2 linked regions of the Lytechinus pictus genome follow. Each later gene encodes a partner of the first gene's protein in a complex. Links are inferred from orthologs where the notes say so. Each region holds a gene or a part of one and is shown on either strand. Other genes may lie near its edges.

Region 1 (7,668 bases):
TCTGGGCAATGTTTGTGAACTTGAACAAGATGCGTATTTTACTAAAATTGCTGCGAGCGTGAAGGAGCAAAAAAAAAGTAAGTAAGAAAAGAGAGAAATATACGTTCTGGCCTGATCGAAAAGGGACTTGCTAATGGCGGTTTACAGTTAGCCAAGAGGACAATGTATATTTCAATCAAAATAATGCGAGCGCAAAGCTCGAGCTAAAATGTTTGAAATTCTGACCATAAAAATGGACATTCCAAGCACTTTGTGTATGAACAGAACACAGTGGGAGCACGAAGCGTGAGCGGATAACAATTGAGATATATAGACCTAAAAGGAACACTATTTTATATTTATGTTTTCTAAATCGTGAAAAGGGTGGGTAATTGGTTACCGTCTTACATTATTTTATAATGCAAGAGCGAGAATAATTTTTTTTTTTATTCTAATCTGAAGCGAGATAATTTAAGCATGCTGTTTTCAATAAAGGATAAGCAGCCCGTCTCAATAAACATGCGTGTTCTAGAATTTGTGCATTCTTAATACACTTTTTACCACGGAAATCAATAATGCGGGCGCGAAGCGCGAACTGATAATATTGGATATTCCGATGTGAAAAGGTCAAATTAAGCACAATATAGGTGGTTTGAATAAAAATGAATAAAACGGCTATTTTGACTCTCAGTACGGCCGCCGCAGAGCAAATGTGACCGAGGTATAAATCAAAAAGAATAATGAAAGTTCAATGTCCTAGCTGACCGTACAGTATTTGTTTTGTATTTTGACTGCAAAGCTTAAATGTCAAGCTCATATATATCAGCCTATTGAGCAATATGTACTCTTCGAAAATGAGCAATGCGAGTGCGAAGCGCGAGCGAAAATTTCAATTTTGCATGTTCTTTTAAATCATCGAAGTCTCCCCTCCCTAATTTTATTCACTTTTCTCCCTCCCTTTCCCCTCTTCCTTTTCCCCTCTCTTTTCCTTCTGTTTCTTCCTTTCTCCATTGTTTGGTCTTTAATCCGCCAACAGCTAGGGGGGGATGACCGCCCCCCCCCCCTGGATACTTCTATGGTAGCGCCTGGTGAAAGCATTTGAATTATTCACCTCACAGTGTTAAACGGGGAAAATAGGAAATGGCTAAATTTTGAAAATCATTAATGTGGAGCCCTATTCAAGTTTAGTTTCATCTATATACACCTTGACAGGGGCTGATCCAGGATTTTCCAAAGTGGGGGCATTCAAGACCTAGTATGCTAAGAAAAAATCATTCCATACACAAAATTCCTGGGAAAAGTTGAAAAATAAGTCCTCACTTGAGAATGAACGACAAAATCCACTAACAAATATATGATATATTACGGGAGGGGGCACCTTTATTTTTCTCCCCTTTCATTATTCCTCATCCATTCCATAGGCAGATCCAGGTGCCGGACCCAATTATGGGCGGCGGCAACCCCTCCTACTGGCGGTGCGAAAATTTAAAAGGTAAAAATTGTAGCCCCCCCCCCCCATTAGCAAAATTTTGATCTACACCGGGTATTTGTCTGTCGTACCTCCCAGTAAATGAAATAACAAAATAAAAAAAATCACCGTTGCACTAGTATTAAAATTTTTGCGAGTCTTTATTTTTCAAATATTTTTGTTTATAATGGTATTCATTAATTATAATTATAGTGGAGGTTCGCATCCCGAGAATGTGAAATGAAAAAAAGAAAAAAAAATTGCACTGAACAGGAAACACTAAACGTCCTATTCAATTCCAATTTACTCAAAGTCATTCAAATAAAAAAAATAAGCATCATTTTTTGATACCTTAACTTGTTCATCACGAATACAATGAAGCCGACAATTATTTGCTTTGTTTTGGATTAATCTTTATAATAATTCACTTCAAATAAAATTTATACATAAACAGGAAAATATCACAGAAAAAAAAAATTAATTGCAGTTGTATAAAACATCATAGAAAATAACATGACAGATAAATTTTATCTCGACAGTACAGGCACACTGTTCATTCGATCATAAAACAATCGCGCTGTTTCACTCCTTGTACACGCACAACTCTATCAGTGTTGTTTCATCTTCATCTGTCCTCAATGGCAAGGACACCAGCATAATTCATTCACTTCAAATAAAATTCATACATACATATACAGGAAATATCAAAGAAAATAATATAACAAATCAATTGCAGTTGCATAAAACACGATAGAAAATAACATGGCAGATGAATTTTATCTCGACAGGCACACTGTTCATTCGATCATAAAACAATCGCGCTGTTTCACTCCTTGTACACGCACAACTATATCAGTGTTGTTTCATCTTCATCTGTCCTCAATGGCAAGGACACCAGCATAATTCATTCACTTCAAATAAAATTCATACATACATATACAGGAAATATCAAAGAAAATAATATAACAAATCAATTGCAGTTGCATAAAACACGATAGAAAATAACATGGCAGATGAATTTTATCTCGACAGGCACACTGTTTCATTCGATCATAAAACAATCGCGCTGTTTCACTCCTTGTACACGCACAACTCTATCAGTGTTGTTTCATCTTCATCTGTCCTCAATGGCAAGGACACCAGCATAATTCATTCACTTCAAATAAAATTCATACATACATATTGTATACAGGAAATATCAAAGAAAATAATATAACAAATCAATTGCAGTTGCATAAAACACGATAGAAAATAACATGGCAGATGAATTTTATCTCGACAGGCACACTGTTTCATTCGATCATGAAACGATCGCGCTGTTTCACTCATTGTACACGCGCAACTCTATCTGAATTGTTTCATCTGTCCTCAATGCGGCAAACACCAGCAGTGCAGTGACGATAATAAGTTGCAGTTGCACATGCGCGGAGAATGAATTAAATTCGGCGGCTGAGTAAAGTCTAGCGAGAAAGGTACGTCACCAGCGAACTTCACGATAGACCACGCCTACTTGCCGAGGTAACCAACGTTGATTGACGGCCCATTTTGTTTTTTGAGTAGTATGAAAAAGTGCAAGCATGTATAAACTTCATTTTAGTTTGAATTCATTCAAAAAACACATTTTTCTTCTAATATAGATGTTTCAAACATATTCCATGTGGGTAACATAATTTTTAAAACATTTATTGCTATATTTTTATCATGAAAAAAGGATTTCTTACGCAACAACAAGTATGATATGTGTGGGCAAGAGAACTACCGTTTTAGCCATAAAGCATATTTTTTATGATTTTATTGTGAGCCTACTCAAGGATTTTTGTTTATTTTTTATGAATTTCCAGACCAAGTTCAACAGCGCCGTCTCGAGCTTGCAATAACGCATGCGATCGCACGCATTTTTCTCCATAGCGAATACACGCGACGAAACTCTGTGGATTTCTCGTGGATTTAACCTCCAAACGTCACTTTCGATACCACATGAAGGTAAGACACTTCATCCCACATAAGTCAATTTACATAAAGAAAACACAGGGCCTAATTTTTTTCACTAAGATGAACTAATTTGCTGAGGAAAAGCATTTCAATGCTCATTTTTGCCGTCGAGAACAGACGATGGTGGCAATGCACACTGTTTACGCACTTGCAATTGGCTTTTCATTTGCCCATAGCAATTTTGCTCAGTGGATCGGCCGACCTTTTGGTAACTCTACCTATAACTATATACATGAGAAGCAACCTGTTGATTTTTTGTACAATTTCCTATTATGCGCCGACGACTTGAATAGAGACTGTTAGTTTTTTAGATAGGAAAAATTCGCATTTCGATTGTTGTTTGCTTGATTTCCACCGCAGTATTCGGACAGACGGAGTATCTTGGCCGAAATTTGGAGGTAAGCGTGAAAAAATCATTTTTATAAATAATTTTGAATATATTTTTAAAATTAAGTTAGTTGATAGATGAAAATTACGTAGACGTAGTCGTAGTGAATAAATCATTAAATGTAAAAATTTTGCCTTTGAGTTTGGCTTTGTTTTGGCATGTTATTCTCTCAGTCTCACATTCGTGTGATGAATGAAAACATCAAATTGCATTATGAAATCACATGCGTTGTGCGAGGTTAGTATAGCTAACCTCGCATGCATGTGTGAGTGCGACCAGCTCTCAGACTCAGGCTCTCAGCCTGTCAGTCTGCAGACTCCGCCATCCATATCCACAACTCGACACTGGCAGCAGGCTCCGACACATCTACGTATTCACGGCGTCACGCGGCCCGTCTCGGCCCGGTCGGGCTAGCCTGAGTCAGCGCTGCACGGCACGGTGTCCTATCCCCAGTTTGACCTGCTTTAAAAAGAATGTACCTTTTACATTAATAAAGTGATGATGATCATGAAAAATTAGATAAAGCTGGTATTGGAAATGTAGAGATTTCGGATACTTACTCTTTACATTTGTTGAGAAAACAGACTAAATATATTTTGCCTTTTCCCTCCTTGTCGCGAAGAAGAGCGTCAGTCAAAGTATTTCGTCGCTCAGTGACCTAGAGGCTCATGGGATAGCTTAAAAAGTATTCAATTTTTACTCTTCTAAGCGGTTTTCACGTGGAGGGCCATGGGGGGATTTAGTCGACGTGTCCTTAGCTCAATGTATTCCGGACTGCATGTGTAAAGTGAATGGAGGAGCGATATTGGCCATATGTTTTACACACATTACATTCAACAGAATAAAAGTCAAAACTGGTGCAATTTTACCCGTGCCTAGATTACGAAAATAGAGGATTTAGTGGAAAAACAAGTGCTCATATTATGTCAAGTGAACGTGGAGATACCTTGGTAAGAATAGAAATTTAGCTTTCTTTAAGTTTAATTAAGGTTCTTGACTCAAGTCTTTTTCAAAATTCAATTTCAATATAGGCCTAGGTCCCTATGTCTGAGTTGAAATAAAAATTGTTAACTTTGCCATTTATAATTTGTTATCCATGGAGACTAGCCAGGAGGCTCCTAGACTAGAGAGTAAAAATCATTTACTAACGTATGCTTACCCTCCACGGAGGTGCCAGGGATTGCGTCCTATTCATATGCGTGTGCCACAAAAAAAACTGAAACTTTTGCCCCTGGCTTAGACTCAGATTTCTAGTTCTACTTTCCTTCTAAAAAAGATCTAGCCCTAAGTCCTAACTAAGTCAGACTAAGTTAACTTCTAAATCATTGTAAATGGGATAAGTCTACAACTTCTTTTCCGAGATTAATATGACATTGATTTCATTTTTAAACAAGAATTCATCAACAAAACAAGAAAAATATGAAGAGACGCACTCGGTCAAGGGTTCATTACATGCCGCCGCGCATAGAAATAGAAGTCGTGTGTTGTGGACACAAGTGGGATCGCAGCACGTGCGACCCACTAGTTAGAAATCCACTGCCAAACGCGGTTCATGGTGCAAGGTTAGTATACTACTAACCTCGCAATACGTGTGAGTGGAAGAGACGGGGAAAACCTGCCGCGGTGTTTACGTCGCCATCATGTTTCTTTTGTTCTTTGCCAAGCTACGTGATGCATATTTCAAGTTTGCTTGAAAAAAAAAATGGAAAAAGGGTGGGGAAAAGAGGGAGAAAACAAAAGAAAACATATTTTTAAATATTAAATTTGGGCTTAGATTACCCTGGAGAAGTTAATTAAATGGCATCTTTTTTGCCATGAAATCAATGACAGCCCCCATATATTAAAAAGATAACTTGGCGCCATCCCAAATAAAATGCATCAGTGCAGAGTGCAATTGAATGACCCCCCAAAATTTTTAAAGGTGGTATATGTCAGTGTGGCTTGCCGTAAATACATTTTCTCTCAATGTGGACGGTGGCGGGCGGTGTGCAGAGAAGAACCTGCCTTCGTAGGACATGTCTAGAGGTGTCTTTCCAAGGACCATTCTTCGTATCGCCCAAATTGGCTTTGGGAAACAGTCTAGCAATATCTCGTTCTTTCGTAGAGCCATTCTACCAAACACCATTTTATGAAACAGGCCCCTCACTCCTGACCTTGGGCTTGACTTTCATGGCTTATGTCATGAAATGAAACTGGGCCCCAGATCATATTTTATGCAGCTGCAGTTGACTTGCATTCTAGATTTTATTGGGTGTCCAAACTTAGCACACATTTAAAAGATATTCGTCAGGGTATAGATCCTAATGCCATCACAAAACAAAATATTCTCATCCAAAACCATGAAAACCAATTGCATGCATGATGTAACCCGAGCATGTTGTAGTGTCAATTGTCAGGGGAGCTGGAGTGGATTACTGAAATACTATTCATAAATTCAATCAGGAAATGCAAATTTATCTTGGTATTCATCAAATTAGGTGCTGGTCCAAAAGTTGGGATTGTCCCAGAAAACAAGGATATCATCAAAAACCAAGACAAATCATTTCTTGATAAATTTAGATTGGATTGTCCTTCTATATGGGCCAGATTATGGGGACAGGTTTTTTTTTCACTTACCCCTGCAGGACATAGTTCAAGGCAATTACGGGGATTGAGAGTGCTAAAAATAGATTCAGTGACCTCAATTCCCCAAGTTCACTGTCTATTTTTCATGACTTGCCGCCTTCCAATAATCTTGTTATGAAACCTGATATGTTAATACCTTGACTAGCGCACTCAATTGACGTTGGCACTTGACAGGTGAATGAACTTTCCTATATTTCTTGTGTGGAGAAATCTTTGAAAACTGAGACGGTCCCTATAAACTGACCAGCGCCTCTAATGACCATGGATACAAAAAAGGAACTCTTCCCCAAATACCTAAGATCATGCAGTTTTCTTTTTTTTACGAAATCAACTTCTGAAGTATCTTATCCCACCCCTCTTCGCATAATATTTGGTCACTGACTTTGAAATGTATACATGTTGGTATTGGTATGGTATATGACCAGAAATGTTTTTCTGCGGGAATAGTTGGAAAATTTACAAAATTACTGATCATATATTTTAACCATATTTTTAGTTTTGAGAAAATAAAGACTTTCAAATGTGTTTTGGCCCTTTTTCATCGATGTTCAAAATTCTTATGTGAAGACTGTCTTTGGCATTTTTCATCAGTGGGCTTGTTATTTTGTATCTCTTCTCTTTTTTTTTTTCCAGATGGAGGAAGAGCCGTGCAGAGTGGATAAGTGGAACGGGACGGCGGTCAAGAACGCCTTGGATGATGATATCCGGAGGGTAAGATTCTCAAGATCTTCATTCAATCCAGCACACAACAGTGGAAAGCCAGCCATACATGTCTGTTCAAACTGTTTTCTAGATATCGTCGCCTTCCCGCACACAGGCCGCTTGTCACCTTCCCGCGAAAGGGCCGTTGGCGCGGACTTCGCGTCGGCTTCCCGCACAAAGGCTGTTAGCGTGCATTGTTCACAGCACGATAACGGCCTTTCTGTGGGAAGGCGACGTGCAATGCGCGCTAATGGCCTTTTTGCAGGAAGGCAACGATATGATGTAAATGCAGGCAACATTGTCTTGACAAGCAGTATGCTCCTCTTTGTTTACAAAGGGACATTGTGCAAATTTCCTGCATAAAAAATGATGGCATTGATGGATATCCTTAGCTGAGATTGATCAGATCAATCATAACTCTTTTTGAGACTCGACCCTGTTCTGACCTCCTTGAATATTGGTTATATCTTGAGTCGGTGCCTTTCCCAAATACAATTTTGTATAAAGGTCCTTT
Region 2 (8,123 bases), on another chromosome or scaffold:
ACTAAATTTATAATTTTTGGCTTTAAAATTCCAGGGAAAAACTATATCCTTTGGCCATTAGCATTAGGCCGACGATCGTTGAGCTGGATCTTACGTTTGCACACGTATTATGCACTTGTTTAATGCATGCAGCGCGGTATCGCGACGTCCGGCGACGTCGCAGCATGCATTGTATTAACACGTGTTGTCGCTCTAGCTGTGTTTGCACGCGCTCCTGCAATGTGCGCGCCATGTGAGATAGGCAAAGTGAAAAACTACGTGCAAGAATGTGTTCAGTTGGTGGAAAAATAATGCTATTTGGGATATCGCAATATACAGGTGCCCACAAGCTTCAGTTTTGTCTAACCTTCGCTCCAGCCGTTTTTTCAATATTATCGATGTAAAAATTAATGAAAATCAGAATTATGGGGTTGATATTCGTAATGCGGAATTGGCAATATAAAATCGGGATGATTCCGCCAAAATCGGGATGGTTGGCAAGTATGCATCCATCCCCTTCTTCCTCCTCCTTCCCCTCCTCTGTCTCCTCATTCTACTCCTCCTCCTTACTCTCCACCCGTCCCTTTCCTTTATTTTGTTCTGGATTGGAACCAAACAAATGTTCCTGAAGTAGATTCATCTCCATTCAAATTATAGAAGCTCAAGGGGGAAATCCATCCAACTCCTACATTTACAAATATTTCTTTTGGATAATCATAATCATTACAAAATTGGCACTTCTATGAAAGTTAACACATCATTTCTACCTTCAAGCGGTTGTTCTTTTCCCCATTCCTTATCCAATGGCCTCCACCTGTAGATTGCTTCTCGAAACTGCTGGTTATTGAACCATACCTGATTAGATTTTTTTTAAAGAAAGAAAGAAGAAGAATGAATTGACAAGAAAGAATAAGTTGCACTAGCTACATGTATAATAGCATCTAGCTTTTTACACAATAATTTACAATTTATTTTTAATTTATTTTTCAATGTCTTTGGGTGTTTTATTAAATGGACCCAAAATAGTTTAACATTTACATTTCAGATGGTGAGTTCATAACAATGATAAAAACAATGACTGATAAAGGGCAAGTCAATGAACTTGTGATAATCATCATACGTCATTGCTAGATTTGAGGGGTCAATAATTAAAGGTCAAGTCTACCCCAGAAAAATGTTGATTTGAATAAATAAAGGAAAATTAAACTAGAATAACGCTGAAAATTTCATCAAAATCAGAAATTCCATTTAAACCAATCTTAGAGAAATGAAGATCTCAGCATTCCAGGTGGTTTCTTTGACTTTCATGATGTACACACAGTGCTCAAGCTGATATCCCCCCCCCCTTCACCTTTCATCAGGTCACAACCAGGGAAAAAGTACACGGGGGCTCAAAAGAGCCCTGAAAAATCCCCTTCATTGCAATGTAAATGCTTATCTAAGTTTACTGAGTTGAAGCAGTGGGCTGTTAAAGGTCCCCCCCCCAAAAAAAAAAAAAATAAATAGATAAACAAAATATATAAAAATAAGAAAATAAATAAAAAATAAGAAATGAAAATTGATTTTAATAATAACAATAATAAATGGAAAAATGAATAATCAATTGAAAAATGAAATAAAATATCAATAAATAAATGAATGAATGAATAATCAAATGAATGAATAAACAAACAAACAAACAAATAATATTAATGATGATATTAAAACAAAAAATACAAATAATGATATTTTTTGGGCCTGGTCACAGCCTTTATGCACTTACCTGCAAGAATGTGTTCACATAACACGTTGCACCAAGATTTTTCAACCCAACCAAATCCTCCTGAAAGTAAAGCATGAAATATCAGAAAAAAAAAATTAAAAGCAAACTTTAGCATGCTTTCAATAGTTATAAAAGCAAAGATTAACAAAGCGATTTACTTGATTTAGTCTTGAAGACATGCATCAATCAATGGTTTCCAGCCTGAGTCATCAATAAGTCAGTAAACTGGGACTCAGCGTCTTTACTTTGGTACAAATGTATCATCGAGTATTGCGTATAGAATGCAAAAAATCAAGCCTAGTCTACCATAGAAGTAGGGACTAAAATTCCTGTTAAATCTAGACTTAACGGGGTACTCCAGGCTGAAAATGATTAAATCTAAATGGAGCACAATTCACAGAGTTAAAACGCTGGAAATATCATCAAAATCTGAAAACAAATGACAAAGTTATTGAATTTTAAAGTTTAGCAGTATTTTTGTGGAAACAGTTAATGCAGTTCCAGGAGCCATCCGACAAGTTCACCCCAACAAAAAGTTGATTTGAATGAAAAGATAAATATCCAACGAGCATAACAATGAAAATTTCATCAAAATCGGATGTAAAATAAGAAAGTTATAACATTTTAAAGTTTTGCTTAATTTCACAAAACAGTTATATGTGCACACCCTGGTCGGTATGCAAATGAGGAGACTGATGGCATCATCCACTCACTATTTATTCTGTATTTTATTATATGAAATATAAAATATTCTAATTTTCTCCTCATTGTCAAGTTAAACAACAATTAATTCCTCCCTGAACATTTCGAATTAGCATTGTTTTATACTATATGGCTCAGTCAAGTTGGTCCTTTTTGTCAACTTTGTAAAAAAATAAATATTGTATAATTCAACAATAAAAAACAAAAGAAAAAGTGAGTGAAGGACATTATCTACTGCCTCATTTGCATATCACTGTTTTGTGAAAAATAAGCAAAACATGAAAAATGTCATAACTTTCGTATTTTACTTCCGATTTCGATGAAATTTTCAGCGTGATGCAATTTTGATTTTTTTCTATTTATTCAAATCAACATTTTTCTGAAGTGGACTTGACCTTTAACTTTGAGACTACCACCCTGACCCATGACCAGACTGACCTTTCTCCTCGTTTCTTCTTCCGGGTCATCCATCTGATACCAGTGTTCATCGCTGATCCCCTTCAGCCATTCCTTCTCACCAAGATTCACAAGGCAATTTGGATTGCCTTTGCAGTTTCGCCTGGACAAATGAGAATCAAAGTATTGCTTTATTACTTTGCAGCACTTCAGAGTATTGTAGTATTCAGAAATTGTAGTGGTATTTAAACATATTTGTCCATGGATTATTTTCAGCTACTTGGCTTTTTTTTCTTTTTTTCTGTTTGTGGTAACTCCCGTAGGAAATCGGCAGGACAGCATTTTTTGCTGGTAAACGCCAAGCTGGTATATAACCAATTACCTTGGAAACATTTTACGTCTAGGTTAATCAGTCATAGTGGCTGACGTAATAGACGACAGATATCACTCTTGGGCCTTTTTATCAAAGTGGAGACAATGGCAGAGTTGGGATTCGAACTCACAACCTTGCGATTATGAGTCCAATGCTCTAACCACTGGACCACACGACCCGCTTTATAAATGAACACATCCAATCTGCAGTTAGAATGAAGATCATGTGAAAAATCAGCTGATAGATCTAACTATAGCTACATGTAATTAATCACCTGTCAATGGCATGCACATAGTTAAAATATGATACTTGGCTCAGATCATGATGGATGATGCGCACAAACATGACTATGGAACACTCTAAAAATAAATACTTAAATCTTGAAACACCATGTTGAAAAATACATTTCTTATCGGTTGTAAAAGTGCAACAAATGGATTCCATTGATAAAATTCAATTCAAATTCCGATTGCAAGTTCCCTCTTTGCAGATGAAATGTTTTGGTCACTTGAAAATGGTGATTTTAATTTTCATTATGATGGTGGTCCCCAAGTTTGTGCACCTAACGATTTGAGTTGAGATTTATGGCAAGTTCCCCTAAGTCTGCGCAGTCCCCCTTGTCTGCGCACACGAGTATCTGCACGATTCGAATAAAAGAAGATACGCAACGAGCACGTACTTTAAACATGCAATACATAGACAGGTATTCATAAAAAAATCCGACTCAAAATGGTGGGAAAATAATGAATTTAGGGCATTTAATGTGACAGCCTCAAAATGCAGCGTTTCTCATCAAAATCCCCAAATCGTGTGCAAAGTGAATGAGTGCGCAGACATGGGGTATCATTTTTATTCAATCTGAAAATGACTGCTCGAGGTTTTTTCAAGAAAATCCTATATTTTCTTTCATTTTTTAATGAGAAACTTGGTACACTTACTCTTAATAATGTAAGGAACATTATTAATTGAAAGATTTTGTGAAATAAGAAGAAATTCATGTTAAATCTTAACTCAAATTGTTAGGTGCGCAGACTTGGGGCCCACCATCATAACATGAATTTCTTTTTATTTCACAAATTCTTTCAGTTGATAATTTTCCTTAATATTATCATAACTGAACTAAATATCTCATAAAAATTAGAAATACATGGTTTTCTTGCAAAAAACATCAGGCAGTCATTTTCAGATTGAACAAAAAAATGGTACCCCATGTATGCGCACCCATTCACTTTGCACGCAATTCGGGGATTTTGATGAAAAAGGCTGCTTTTTGAGGCCATCACATGAAATGCCCCAAATTCATTATTTTTATGTCATTTTGAGTCAGATTTTTTAATGAATATCTTTCTATGTATTGCATGTGTAAAGTCTGTGGTCGTCGCGTATCTTCTTTTACTAGTAGTAGTAGAATCGCGCAGATACGCGTGTGCGCAGACAAGGGGGACTGCGCTGCTGTGCGCAGACTTGGGGGAACTTGCCATGGCCATATGCCTCAATTTAAACAGTGAGTTAATAACATGACATGGTTAACGTTAGGCCTAATGTTAGAACACTTTCTTCCTCTCTCTCTTCCCATTCATGTTCCCTGAATTTTTAGCTGAAATTCAATTCTTTTGAGATCTAGACTCTAGCTAGATCGAGTCGACAATGATCTTTCATTCTTTATCAGTTTATCTCTACCGTATTTGTTTCTTTCATATATTTTCTTTCTTTTCGGATTATTCTCCTAACTATTTTTGCTTGTAGGGCCCAGAGGCTAAACATGAACTAGTGTTATCGCTCATGAGTCATAACTTTTTAAGTTTAACTTGATCATGATCCTGTTTTATTTCACTGCAGCTGCACATCACAGTAACACTAACACTACTACCACAGACTTTACCTGCAAGACGCCGAACAAATTGGGAGATTGACTCGATAAGCAATCCGAACATGTTCCTCCGTCACTTCTTCTGGAGAGGTTGTTTCAGTCCATCGCCAAATTTCCTTGTCTACATTGACTTTACCAGGCATTTCGATGGTTGATTTTCTTGATCATTAACTTAGTTCAGACTTCAAAGGCTACAAAATATCCCTTTCGCGCGAGAAATTTCACAACTGAGCTGACAGTGTTTTTATTTTATGAGAGCCGCAGACAAGACGGAGCTGGCGCTATTCTCCTTAATTGGTTTTGTTTGCTGTGGCCGTCTACATTTACGACACGTATTATTCATATTCCGGGCGAATTGAAATTTATTACAGCTGAATATTAGACCTTTTGGACAAGTGGTTATTGTCAAGATCAGTGATAATCAAGAAACTACAAGTAAACTCGACAGAATGGGGTTTTTGGACAGCGTACCAACCCATATGGTAAGTATTTTTAACGAGTGTCTTGAGTGTGGTCCCATCCATTGAAATACGAGTTTGTCTTAGCCGAGCTTAAGATGAAATGGGCCTGGGAAACGGGAAGAAACTTTGATGGAAGCTGAAAAGGAGAGGTCGAGAGAGAGCTTCAGCTTGGCCTTGGCCCTGCCGCGCCTTTTTTCCATATCCAATAGATTCCTGAAATCTGTTTTGGAGACTTTGAATCAGACTACGGTACTGACTACAAATTATGGTTATTGTAAACATGAAATTGTAATATTTGTATTATTTTATTTTTAAAGAATCTTGCCTCTATAGACTATAGGCTCTAAGACTAACTGTTTTTTATCAACAAATCCATTCTTTGAAAATCGATCAAGAATCAACTTCATCAATTAAGACAAGACTAATGTTAGAGGCAAGACGAGATTTAAAACATAGCCATAGGCATAGGTAAGTATCATGACATGACGTCATGAGTGCTCCTAAAACTTTAACTTTAGTTTAAGCTGTTAAGTCCCTTTTAAAATTAAACAAAATGACGTCATGTCATACTTATCTATGGCTATGTTTTCTTTGTTTTTTTCTTACTGTTTTCACAGGATTATAAGGGACAGAAACTTGCAGAGCAGATATTCCAGGCAATAATCATGCTGTTTGGGGTAAGTAAATTTTTGTTTAAGTGTGTTTGCTCTAGTCAACATGAATGAAAATCACATAGTTTTGATTAAATCTTCTTGGAGGGTTATCATAATATACTAACCTCACATGTTGTGTGAGTGTCATAATGCATAAAGCCTGACTATTTGCAAACAATTTTTTTGGTACATTGGCTAGTAGTAGTGTGTGTGTATCCTAGAAATGATAATAATTAGTACATTGTTATATGATCTTCTTTTCTTCCTCTTCCAGTACTCCCCCCATCCCTCCTCATCTTATCCATCTTCCTTCATATCTGCTACTGCTAGTCCTCTTTATTCTCATTTAACTCCTCTTCCTCCACATTTCCCCCTCTTCTACTTCTTTCTCGTACCCTTCCTCCTATCCTCTTCTTCCCCTCCTTATCTTGCTATCCCTCTTTCTCCTCCTTTTGCACCTTCTCACCCCCTTCTCATCCTCCTTTTCCTAATTTCCTCATCTCCCTCATTTCTTAATCATCTTCCTCCTCCCATCCCATTCCTCCTTATGTACCACACCTCTTCCTCCTCCCCCTCCTCATTCTTCTCCTTTTCTGCTCATCCTCTTCATAATCATCTAGTGCTCTTTTTCCTTTTCCCTTTCTATCTCTTCTTTCTCCTCATGCGCTTTCTCATAATATATCCCCCTTTTGCAGCTCATCTTCCTCATCCTCTTCTTCCTATCCTGTTCTTCATTTTGCACACCACCTCCTCCCTTTCCTCTTCATCTTTCTCATCTCCTCCCCTCCCCCCATCATCTAGTCATCATTTTCCTTCTCTCTTTCTAGATCTCCTCAAACAGGATCCTCTTTCCATTAAACTGTCTATCGTTCTATTGTAATCTTAGCCTTCTGGGACGAATTGCTTTGACTATTACTTTTTTCAGTAGCTCATAACAGCACCTTTTATTAAGTTTTGCTATTACATGTAACTGTTTTGAAATATATTGCAGGTTATTATGGATTAAAATTCAGAATGATTGCTTGAATATTGGATAAATATCTATAGCCAACAGAGATGCCAACCCTCCTAATTTATCAGCTCCTGAAAATTCTGCTCCCTTCCAATCACCTTCATTTTCCTCCTGAAATTTTGATCCATTTAATTAATCGATACATTGAATGGGAATTTAGTGAGAAAAGTTTGTCTGCAACCTGATTTCATTTCTGATAAGAAGTCTTGTGATTCATAAAATGTTGCACTTTGCATTCCCTTGCAGATTGTAGGGTTCATCTGGGGTTATGTCTGTGAGCAGTTCGTACAGACTGTGTACATACTCGGTGCTGGTTTTGTTCTCTCCTGTATAGTAAGTACCAGACCATCCTTTAAAAGGTTGTATGAAACAGTGAGTCTTAACTTAAGCCCAGCGTACATTGTGCAATGCGATTGCATGAAGTTGCCAATCGCATCTTACTCAGTCAGCGCAATGGGGCAATTCCATAGGTTGGTGGACATGAGCTCAATGTGTCTTTGTACTGTATAGCCCATCTGAACCGTAATGTGAGTAACCACTTTATCTGCACCCCTAGTAAAAACCATGTGTTCTTTATTTTTTGAATTATATACAAATTTGTCTCCCTAATATACTTATTTGAAATGGATATAATCAACTTTCATAAAAGCCTTGTATGAGGACACTTTTCACTTATGTCCACTTTTCATTTTATGCATGTCCAAATCATGTAACATGAGTAACCGACACATTTCTAAGATTTGCCAGGAGCATAATGAAATTTCCCAAGTTTTGTTTTTATACAAAGGATAGTCAGACTGCCTACTATGTTGTGATAAAGAGATGTTTAGTTCCTATCAATAATAATGGAGTTACAGCTCCAAGTATGAGTCAAGGTGTCTCCAAATGTAACATGGGTAACCATGGAATAGCCCA

Evidence for each region.
Region 2: signal peptidase complex subunit 2-like (region 1) and signal peptidase complex subunit 1-like share a complex: the UniProt entries of both Drosophila melanogaster proteins name them as parts of the signal peptidase complex. The link is inferred for Lytechinus pictus from reciprocal best matches to the Drosophila melanogaster genes Spase25 and Spase12.

What each region holds. Positions count from the first base shown.
Region 1 is NC_087260.1:11,022,129-11,029,796, forward strand, and holds the start of signal peptidase complex subunit 2-like, read left to right. Parts: upstream 1-4,525; 5' UTR 4,526-4,750; coding exon 4,751-4,777; intron 4,778-7,085; coding exon 7,086-7,163; intron 7,164-7,668. UniProt on the Drosophila melanogaster protein: Component of the signal peptidase complex (SPC) which catalyzes the cleavage of N-terminal signal sequences from nascent proteins as they are translocated into the lumen of the endoplasmic reticulum.
Region 2 is NC_087258.1:20,231,151-20,239,273, reverse strand, and holds the start of signal peptidase complex subunit 1-like, read left to right. Parts: upstream 1-5,040; 5' UTR 5,041-5,094; coding exon of another isoform or gene 5,095-5,225; 5' UTR 5,226-5,531; coding exon 5,532-5,564; exon of another isoform or gene 5,565-5,626; intron 5,627-6,160; coding exon 6,161-6,220; intron 6,221-7,454; coding exon 7,455-7,541; intron 7,542-8,123. Other genes in the region: ubiquitin carboxyl-terminal hydrolase 48-like, read right to left, coding at 747-834, 1,742-1,801, 2,882-3,002, 5,095-5,225. UniProt on the Drosophila melanogaster protein: Component of the signal peptidase complex (SPC) which catalyzes the cleavage of N-terminal signal sequences from nascent proteins as they are translocated into the lumen of the endoplasmic reticulum.